Arabidopsis thaliana: one gene and its partners. The protein of the gene in region 3 interacts with the protein of the main gene of each other region in a pairwise test. Each region holds a gene or a part of one and is shown on either strand. Other genes may lie near its edges.

The links.
Region 1: the proteins of AT4G08460 (region 3) and UBC29 interact in a two-hybrid assay, tested with the Arabidopsis thaliana proteins (one large-scale study listed by BioGRID).
Region 2: the proteins of AT4G08460 (region 3) and AT5G58720 interact in a two-hybrid assay, tested with the Arabidopsis thaliana proteins (one large-scale study listed by BioGRID).

Annotation. Positions count from the first base shown.
Region 1 is NC_003071.7:7,265,607-7,269,362, reverse strand, and holds UBC29 (ubiquitin-conjugating enzyme 29), read right to left. Parts: upstream 1,642-3,756; 5' UTR 1,484-1,641; coding exon 1,414-1,483; intron 1,313-1,413; coding exon 1,185-1,312; intron 1,000-1,184; coding exon 895-999; intron 770-894; coding exon 626-769; 3' UTR 308-625; downstream 1-307. Other genes in the region: AT2G16730 (glycosyl hydrolase family 35 protein), read left to right, coding at 3,258-3,476, 3,572-3,667, 3,753-3,756. UniProt on the Arabidopsis thaliana protein: Accepts the ubiquitin from the E1 complex and catalyzes its covalent attachment to other proteins.
Region 2 is NC_003076.8:23,721,473-23,725,228, forward strand, and holds the start of AT5G58720 (smr (Small MutS Related) domain-containing protein), read right to left. Parts: upstream 1,704-3,756; 5' UTR 1,503-1,703; coding exon 863-1,502; intron 674-862; coding exon 648-673; intron 524-647; coding exon 437-523; intron 341-436; coding exon 270-340; intron 1-269. Other genes in the region: Mik (pfkB-like carbohydrate kinase family protein), read right to left, coding at 2,155-2,331, 2,968-3,756.
Region 3 is NC_003075.7:5,379,253-5,383,008, forward strand, and holds the start of AT4G08460 (hypothetical protein (DUF1644)), read right to left. Parts: upstream 1,631-3,756; 5' UTR 1,279-1,630; intron 1-1,278.

The DNA of each region.
Region 1 (3,756 bases), on a different chromosome or scaffold from region 3:
TTCAATCTATCTATTCTCCAAAAATATCGTTAGATAACGTAAGTTATTTTTGTTGTTTACTAAATAACTAGGCTTAAACTTTAAATATTAGTAACTTGTCCTAAATTTTTTACACAAACATGACTATAATTAATTCTCATTTATCTTTGATACTATTGAGTTTTCCCATTATAACCTTTATCTATGCATCTCACTATTTTATGTGTTGTTTGAAATCTATATTTTAGAGTTATTTTAACAAAATAAAAAGAAAAATAACAAAAATTTCGACAAAATACACAAAAAAACATATTTGAACGGTCCTTTAAAAAAAACAAATTCGCTAATAATATGAATTATTTTATTATATAAAATATAATTAAATTTTTTGATTATATAAATAATTTTTGTGATTTATGTATATATTTTATTTTCCCGATAGGGTTAGAAGATTTTTTATATATTAACAAAATTAGATTTAATACATGTCGATATCTCATCAATCATATGAGTTAACAACTTTGAAAACTCTACTTTATATATTATATATGTTTGTATTAAAATTATAACAATTTCTTCTTCTTCTTTTTTTATTACAAATAAGACCAAACCAAAATAAAAAGGAAAAAAAGAGGAATTGTGAGCTTTAAAACAAGGCATACTTCTGGGTCCAGCTTCGAGCCATGGCTTCATATTTGGTCTTGTCAGTTTTGTATATGTGAGCTATCTCTGGCACCAGAGGGTCGTCAGGGTTTGGATCTGTTAGAAGAGAGCATATAGAGAGAAGCACCTATAATACCAAAATGTTAGTAATTTGTGTTACCTATTGGAGCTTCTTGGTTATATACCAAATCTGATATATGGAATTATAGAAAATATTGACAAATAACTAAATACATATATAGAATTTCAAACCTTAGAAATGGTAAGGGCAGGGCTCCATTGGTCTTTGAGAATGTCCAAACATATGTTTCCATTACTGTTGATGTTTGGGTGAAACACTTTGGTTCTGAATACAACCTGATTTTATCAAACAAACATAACAACAAGAGTAAAGAAGAAGAAAAAGATTGAAAATAAAGATCAAAACTTAAGGTTCCAAAAGATCATAAACGATCCAATATTTAATGTTGGTTTTGTGCCTTTTGGTTATTGGATTTAAGAAGTAGATTAAAAAACAAAAAAATTGTTGAGAAAGTTGTTACCTTGGGAGGTTTAAAAGGATAATCAGGAGGGAAATGAATATTGACAAGGAAAACACCTCCGGAGTAAGGACTTTCATTCGGACCCATTATAGTAGCTTGCCAGTGGAACATATCTTCTCCTGTTGGACCTAAAAATCCCAAACCAAGGAGAAAGGAAATATCAAAATCTTTAGAAAAAATTTCTGATACATGGCTTATATTGTATTAAGAACAAATTGTGATCCTTTACCTGCACTGCATGATACAGGAGGGTCTCTTTGCAACTCCTTCAATTCTTTCAATATCCGTCTCGTTGCCATCAGGTTGCTGAGTGTTTGATATAATGGAAAGTAGCACTACAAAGAAGTATGTGAAAAAAAATATGAGTGGTTTGTGAAGAGAAGGAGAATGAGAGTTGTGTTTTTAAAGCGTGAACCGTAAGCAAAGATTTGTGATTCTCTTGCAAACAGGAATGCTTGCACTATTGCATTTATCATTGTTTAAGTAAAGATTTACCATTGTAAAGTCTCTTTTTAGCCGCCCGCTTTGCCCATAAAGGTAATGGAGAAAGATCCATTCTTTTGTTCTGATTCTGAAAGAGAGACGTGCCTTGAAGTGGATGGTCTTACGTACATGCTTACTGTAATATACCATATCTATTGAACGGTCTATAATGGGATTTGATAAAGTCTGAGAATCAGAATAACTTAACATAAAGAATGGTTATTACAATATCCTTTGTTCTTAATCTTATTGTCCACGTTCACTGGACCAGCAAAGTGATGGGTGATGAGCATCATGTTCAACAAATATAATCATAAATCATAACATACATTTGATGAGGTAAAATAGTTATTGAAAACTTATAGGACCCATTTCAAAAGTTTCTTAAGATTATAGGCCCATGTATCATTAGGAAAAAAAATTATAGGCCCTATTTACATACTTTAAAATTTTACAATAAAAAATTTACAAATCAGAGTGGCGTCGAGTGAGGAACACTCCACAAATCAGTGATGCATATATTATTTCCTTATTTTAAAGATTTATATCACAACATATCGTAGAGATCGTCATTGATCAACCTATATATGTAAATGTAAATCATTGCCTTTCAATCTAAGTATAACCTTCAAGCCTCTGTTTATTTCAGACTTATTAGGTCTTTTGAATATTGCTATAAGAAGAAACTCCACAGCTGTTAGTCCAAAGTTAATGTACATGCATGCTACGTGATTTGCCCAACCGATATTTTATGATGGTGATTACGGGAGGAAAATAATTCTCAACAATAGTTGGTCTCGATTTTTTAAAAGACGATTAATTGATTACTTAAAAAAATAGCCATTTTTTTTGTAACAAATGTTGTTTGCTTTGCTTTCAATCTTCAACCACACGGTCAACACATTTATGTATTTTACGTAAAAGAAGCATACCAAAGCTTTTACAATTTTTGCCGTTATGATATTTAAAGTTAGAAATAAGCTAAAGGTTTAAACGATGATAATCCAAATTACAGCAAAAAAATTTACTCAACTTGTAGACAAAGAATAATAACTAGATAACAGGTTACACAAATTTTTGTTAGATCTCTCATGGATTTAATCCACATTTCCACAATTAAAGAAGAACCAAAAGTGGTGTTTATAATGAACATAATAAAATAAAATAAAATCATTGGTTTCGTATGAACCATTTTTTTTTGGTGTAATACGCACCTTCTCAACATAAGCATTGGCTCACATTTCTTTTTGGTGGTGATTGAGAGAAGTCATTGTGTGTATACCCGCCAAATTAGGCTCTTCAACCAAAAACCTTAAAATTAGAAAATTCAACGAAAACAAAATGAAAGGAGGAAATAAGGAAATAAAAGGGAGAGTTATTGGAAGTTTTATTTACAAACAAAATGTGGAATCTCAAATTGAGAATACGTGAATTTCTCTGAAACCTTATGTTCTCTGCGAAACATTCTCTTATTTCATTTTCTTTCTCTAAAGTTTTTATTTCTCTGACAAGGAAGATATCCCTTTAGGTGGATTCTTGTTTAAATTTAAAAATCCTCAAGAAGAAGAAGAAGAAGAAGAAGATAGTCAAATGAAAATACATTCTTCTGATCATTCATGGCTTTTACTAGCCGTTCTCGTGATTCTCCTCTCCTTCTCTGGAGCTCTCTCAAGCGATGACAAAGAGAAGAAGACGAAATCGGTCGATAAAAAGAAAGAAGTAACTTATGATGGAACGTCTTTGATCATCAATGGAAATAGAGAACTCCTTTACTCTGGCTCCATACATTACCCTCGTAGCACTCCTGAAGTAAATGATTCATACACTCGTTAGTTAAAGTTGTTTTATCTTTAAATTTTGTTTTACTTACATTTTTGAGAATATGTGATGTGGGTTTTGCTCAGATGTGGCCAAACATCATCAAGAGAGCGAAACAAGGCGGTTTGAACACGATTCAGACATACGTTTTTTGGAACGTTCATGAGCCTGAGCAGGGAAAGGTAATTTGAAATATTAACAAACAAAAACCTTTAGAAAAGATTAAATCACTGTTTTGAAGAGTTTTTTATTTTGTTGTTGGGACAGTTCA
Region 2 (3,756 bases), on a different chromosome or scaffold from region 3:
CGTCCACAATGTTGAAATTAAGAAATCATAATGTAAGTTTTGGCGGTCTCATGAGTAATTTAGATATCATGTGTTCATGAACTGAATCCTCCACCATGAAATAGTTCGTTTGTTGTTCTTTCATAGAAGAGGATAAGGACTAATTAAAAGATAAGGAGAGGTTGCAGAGAGCTCGTTATCTTGTAACTAACGTGTAAATCAACTCTGATAATTCCAAAATCAGTGAATTGCAATAACAAGATGAAAGCCTAAGAAGCAAATAGAAGTACCTTTGACTATAGTCTCCACCCCAGAAAAGTTCACAATCAGAAGTATCAGTATCAAAAGATGACTCTGCCAGCTGTTAAATAATGTCAGGAGATTGCACTTTATTTTATCGTGTAAGAAAACAAAATAAACAGATCTATGAAGATTAACAAAAAAAACAATCACTTACACTATCGCTGACTCCTATGCCGAAACATTTACCACTCAATGAATCATCAGTTGATGAAGAAGACATGTCAAGCAAGACATTCAAAGCCTAAGAAGAAAACGCTATTAAGCTTTAAAATAAATAGTCGGGCAAGTATCAGCATATTTCAGGAGCTTCCCTGTCAATATACTAAATACTTCCCCATGTAAGTTTGAAGACAATCTCTGCTTACCATGTCGACATCATAGCCACATTGACCTACAAAAAATAGATACTTCCATGTCAATTCATCGAACAATCTAGTCTCTCCTCATAACATTATTACGGCTATATTTCGAATATCGCGGACACATTAAAACGTAATCCTATAACTATTAAGGATCATACTTTTCTACTAACATCTTCTCCCATGGAAAAATTAACTGACTAAGAAGAAGAAATACTCACACAAAACATCTCTAACAACAGCCATGCTAAGCTCGCAATCATCTCCAAGCATTGAACTTAAGAACTGTTCAGCTTTCTCTCTATCCGCAGCTTTTTTCCCGTTCCCACAGAGCTCTTTAGACCGTTCCATCATAGGAAACTCTTTTCGCACAGGGTTTGGCTTCAAGTAATCCTTCGCAATCACAGAAGAAACCATCCCTGTAGCAGCAATAACTCTACTCTGCTTGCTTCCCTTAAACCATCTATCTCTAGTCAAATCTTCGCTACAGCTAGAACTTGACCCTGCCCCATACTCAGAGGTAGACGCTGTTTCCTGACCCGAAGAACCACTCGCCACCGAACTCGTCGACGGATCATCACCGCTTTCCACCAGATCCGATAAAATCTCAGCGGCTTTGTTCAGATCTCCGCCTGCTTCCTTATAAGCAGCCATCGCTTCCTCCATTGAAACCGAGCAAAAGGCTTCCATTAACGATTCGATAAAATTTTTTCCAACGTTTTCTATCTCCCTCTTTCCTTCACCGTCCTTCCTCTCTTCCTCCACATCTTTTTTGTTCCCGTCCGACGTCGTTCCATCACCGGAAGGTTTCGCGGCGCAGGATCGCTTCTTCTTCTTCTTATGCTGGTTCTTCTGCTTCATTATCGTACAATTATAGATGAAATCGTGTCAACGCCGCTTCAATAGAATCTCTTCCGATCTGCAGAAGAAACTTAAACCCAGATTTCCGACGAGAAGCGTCGGAGAGAGGGAAGAGGCGTTTTAACCGTAAATCAGGAGTTAGTAATGGAGATGCCAATATCAGAGGAAATTTTTTGCTCGTCCAGACTTTTGATTGGGAATCGGAATCGCCACGTCAATCCACGCGCCTGATCGTGACCACGTTTTAAATCCACGCGCACGAATCAAACACCGAACACGGTTTCCTCCTGATTGTACATATATTGAACCGGTTCAACTATGCACCAGTCAAAATTAGATCTCCCACGTTGACTTTCGTAATTTTATCTCAGATTTGTTTTTGGTTTTTATATTAACTAGATAATGTGGCAACATGCGAATAGCAAATCATCTTATCCAAAACTTTTAAAACAAAATTTGACATCTTCATTTCGAATTTTGAAACGCGGAGTTGATAAACAAACTTTGCGGGAACGACCAGAAAGAGCGTTTGAAGACGCTGGTCAACGCGTTTTATACATTAAAATTTCCAAAATTCATCAACGTGTTGAAGCAAGCTTACACAACTCAGAAGAGCTTTGTTAGTAAAAAAAAGGTGATTCAAGATTCGTATTCACAGGGACCGATCATCACAAGAGTGACCATTGACCAATAACTTTGGTTGAAGTTGAGAGTCTACGCATGAAAACCGAGCTGGACTTAGACGCTCATGGAACTCGTTGTGATCGTTGTTATGGCTGCTAGATATGTTACACTGCTTCTTCCTTCTCTGTACCTCATCCTTGACTTTCTGCAAATCACAAAGACATATGTCACATAGAAATAACCGATGAAAGGGATGAATCCTTGTGCAGTGCAAACACAAACGCTATAAATCTTCTAATTTGCTTAATGTTCACTTGCACTAGCCAATGGTTCAATTATTATCCAATAACGCCCTCATTTCAACAGATACAACTACAAGAGATACACAGAAACACTCGCAAATACATCAAGAGATCCATACTTTTGAATTCTCTAATTGCTTAACCACATTGTTCGGTGAATGCTTAAACAACACTTTTTCCTGCATCTACCCTATGTTGAATGAAACTGCTCCTAGATTAACAATGAAGTAAAACAAGAAAAGACTCTCTCAGCAGCTGTGACTCGACAGAATCTCAAACAACAACTGTGAAGATTTGACACATTTTCAGATTGGAAACCTATCAACATCAAATACAGATTCTAGTTCACCCGCAAGATATAGGTTTGGCTGTATTGAAAGTAAGCTGCAAGATGTAACAGAGTTCTTTTGCTAGGATTATGTTAAAGACATTTGCATATCACTATCATCGGCTCTAAAAGTTCTTACTACTGTCTATTAGATTTGCAAATCTCTCACAGCATGCAATTCAGTAAGCTAATACGAGACCAAAAAACAAACCTGAAGCATCATCAAATCGAACTTTGGCTGACCAATATGCTCTACAGTGATGGAACCAAAGAGGTTCCCTAACAATGCAGCATCAGGAACAGTCAAACCTTCAACAAGCCCAACAATCAAACCTCCGAGAAAGCTGTCTCCGGCACCGGTAGGATCCACCTGCTTCGCCAAGAACGGAGGAACCGTCATTTCATCATCCTTATGATAAATCCTACACCCTTTTTCACCATTAGTCACCACCACACAACACAAGTGCTTCATTTGTTCAACATCCATGAAAAGAGCTTCGTCTGACGAAGCTTTCAAGAATCCAATTCGATGCAAGATGTGATAAAATCCACTTTCTTTCAAATCAACAAGCTTCACAGCTCCGTCAACAGGATCAAAAACCCTAATCAAAGCTTGAATATCCACAGCAACAACGTCACAGATCTCCACCATTTTCTCAAGCGTCTCCGGTAAAATCTCGCCGCCGACTCCAACGGCCATTCCGAAATCAAATCTCGAATCGGGTATATCCGAAGGAAGAATCGGATCACATGCAGAGACTCTTTTCAACACCCGATCAGCATGACCGATCCCATCGATTCCCAGATCGAAATACGCCTCGAAAACTGTTGTTTCCTTCTCCGGAGCCACGATCGGAGAGTGGGTGACCTCGTATCTGAAGTCGTGTCCTACTTTGGAGACCAAATCGCAGGAGACAGAGGAAGAATCTAAGACATTAGATATGAAAGAGGCGGCGCCGCCGAGAGTTTCAGCTACGACGGATCCGTTTTGGATTAAAAC
Region 3 (3,756 bases):
AATGCTCAATGAGATCTCTAAACTATGACTTCGACATGAATTCAACATATAAACACTCATAGACGAGAATCTAGATTTCTAGAACAAATGTTTTTTAAGTATGAGCAGTTATCAAGTAAGTCATCAAAACGATATCCATATCCAAAGCATTATTATGATACATAGTTCAATGGACCAAGGTACTATCCAAATCCAAACATCACGAATATAAATCAAACTCCAAAACATGAAAGCGCTAATCCAAATTCCAAGTTGTGAGACACTAAACAGTACACACGCTTAAGTTCCCTTTGATACATCTAAGTGTTCTTTCATTTATATATTCGAAGTAATCTGGATCCAAGATTCCATGAATCAAATTCCAACTTTATAAGAGACTCATGGGAAAAACAAAACTCAACATATCCATTAAACCATAAAACAAAAGAGTCCATCACATAAAAACCTATTTTCATGTCTACACTGTATAATTCAGACTCAGAAATAGGCTAAAGAACACTCACCTACGGAAAACAAATTCGATGGATCCAAGTTACCCACTAGTTTCAAGATTCTTAAAAGACCAAGATCACATTCCTAAGCTTAACTATCAGCTTTTCTCTGCTTAGCCCCGGAAAGATTTTGAGAAAGCGACAATACTCAGACAATCCTCTCTCTCACTTCTCAAAATAAAGGGTCTTGACTTAATCAAAGGAAAATTTTGGAAATAAGCCCACCACCAGTTCTCTCCATACAAAATTAAAACAATGCTACATAATCTCATCCATTAAATTTCACTAATCTAGTTATAACCAAATGATATACAATTTGTCAGTGAAACAATTTACTATACCAAAGATGCTAGCTACTGCTTCTTTAAACTCAGGATCTCTAAACAAAAGGTGCTACTAGAGCTAAGACACATGAAAATGACGGTTTTTATCGCCAAGATTGATAACATTTTCAATAGTATGTATAATTAATCAAGTGTGGTGAAATAAACAATCCCAATAGCGAAGCTATTGTTCATACATAAACACAAGCACGAAAGAGAGTAAACTGTTACAAAGTTTTGACTTTTGACAAATTCGCATAGAGAGTCAAGAAAAAGTCGAGATCTTTGTGTCACCAAAAGCATAAGAACCAATAAGAACAAAAAACAATAGAAATGATTAAGCCAGAAAACCTAGAACACAAATTCGTGAAACCCTAAATCTCAGAACAAAACAAAGATCGATTTCGCAAGATTTAACAGATCGACATCATATGAGATCGAAATGATTACAAAATCGAGCTTACCAGGCGATGCCGGTGGTTTTGGTTACGGAGATTGCGGAGGAGACGGCCTTAAGTGGCGGTCTCAGCGGCGGCGATAGATGTAACCTTTGACGGCCAGAGATTGATGTTTGTTTATATATTAAGGCTTTAGCTTTTTGAGATCTGATTGTTAAAAATATTGTTAAAGGCCCATTTGTTTAATTCTCTGGGCATTTAGGCCTCTTCTTATGCTTCTTCTTCTTTTCTTCAGTATCTAAATTTAGTACTTCGGCTTCCTAAAATTTCTTGAATATTAACCACCATTTCACATTCTTCAATTAACCATAGAAGTTAGAACGGCTTAGGCATAAAAACCGGAACCGAAGAACCGAACCAAGCCAAACCGAAAAAGGAATCCGGTTCGGTTCTAGATAATACTAAATATCCTCGAACGGATTTCAGTCACACTATCCATTGAATATTATGTATAACTGAACAAACCGAATATCTATGGAAATCCAAAATCTAACCAAAAAATATTTGGTCAACCCTATACAAAACTACATCTAAGCCCACTACATTTTTAACAAACCTATAACCCAATAGAGTTTTGTTAATTTTTTAATATTTTACAATTTTGTTAATCGAATATTTGGTTATTTCGTTTTTTTTCTTTTTGGTATTTTGGGTAAAATAACCGGAACCAAACCGGTATCTATTAGAGTTCGGTAATTTCTCGGCTTTCTTTCTAAGTATCTGAACCAAACCGAAACTTTTTCGGTTCCCTCGTAGATCTTAAGAGGCTATAGAACAGAAGAACCGAATGCCCAGGCCTAGTATTTATGTATTTAATTATTATATAAATATATTCAAATATTTGAATTATTACATAAATTTTCCCAAAATATGCAATATTTTAACAAAAATATGCGACAAGAAGACACAACCGCAAAAGTAATCGTAAATAATATTAATGAAAAGTTACGATAAAAAGACGTAACCGTTCAGAATCGAAAAGATACGACTAAAGTTGAATAAGTATAACTGTCCACCAAAAATAACCATAAATATATTAACGAAAAGATACGACAAAAAAACACGACTGTAAAACAAACATTAAATATTTTAACGAAAAGTTATGATAAAAAATGCAACCGTTTAGAAATGCAAAAACATTTATTGAGATTGTTATTGCTATTAGATTCCAAAAAACTTTGGTTAGATCAAGAACTAGAGGTATTATTTTCATATTAAAATGATGTATGTAAGTATGTTTATAAATAGTTTAGAGAGTAAAGAATGTGGAGCCGTTTTCCAGATTAATGTTTTTGAATTGATCATTAAGCAAATAATATGTGTGAATGAACAAAAATATGGTTAGGAAGAAAGACAAATATAGAGTTCAACCGACTTTGAATAAACAACTTTGTTTATCCGAAAATAGTGACAAAAAATGCAAAGAAATCTAATGAAGAGACGTAACTTTAAATGAATAGATGCAACAATAAAGACACAACCGCAAACTGAAAAGATACGACTGTAGTTGAACAAATATAACTGCAAAAAAATTAACCGTAAATATTTTAACAAACAAATACGATAAAAAGATGGGAGATTTGCAAAACTATCATTTTTCTACTACCTTTTGCAACAATACCCGTTCATGTTGTTCATTTTTAAAAATACTCTTTCCCTTGAACATAATGATTAAATTACCCTCATCAAATAGGAACATGTAATTGGAAACTGAAATTTTCCCGCCAAAAAAAAAATTTCGCCAAACTTTTTTCCCGCAAAAAAAAATTTCTCGCCAAAAAAAAAAAATTCCCGCCAACTTTTTTTCGTAACAATTTTTTTCTGAGCCAAAAAATGCTTTTATAAATCCTTGTAAATTTTTTTTGGCGGGAAATAGATTTACAAGGGATTTTAAAAGAGTTACAAGATGTTTAAAAGGATTTAAAAATACTTACAAGGGATTTTAAAAGATTTACAAGGGATTTTAAAAGGGTTTAAAAGATTTACAAGGAATTTTAAAAGAGTTTTAAAATATTTACAAGGGATTTTAAAAGGTTTTAAAAAGATTTACAAGAGTTTTTAAAGGGTCTTCTTGTAAATCTTTTAAAAACTCTTGTACATCTTTTAAAATGCTTTTAAAATCCTTTGTAAATCTTTTAAAACACTTTTAAACCCTTTTAAAATCACTTGTAAATCCTTTAAAATATTTTTAAACCCTTTAAAACTCTTTCAAAAACATTTGTAAATCTTTTAAAACCCTTTAAAATCCCTTGTAAATATTTTAAAACTCTTTTAAAATCCCTTGTAAATTTTTTAAAATACCTTGTAAATATTTAAAACCCTTTTAAAACAATTTTAAACCTTTTAAAAATCTTTAAAAAAACATTGTAAATCTTTTAATGCCCTTTAAAATCCATTGTAAATCTTTTAAAATCTTTTGTAACTCTTTTAAAACCTTTTTAAAATCCCTTGTAAATATTTTAAAACCTTTTTAAAATCCCTTAT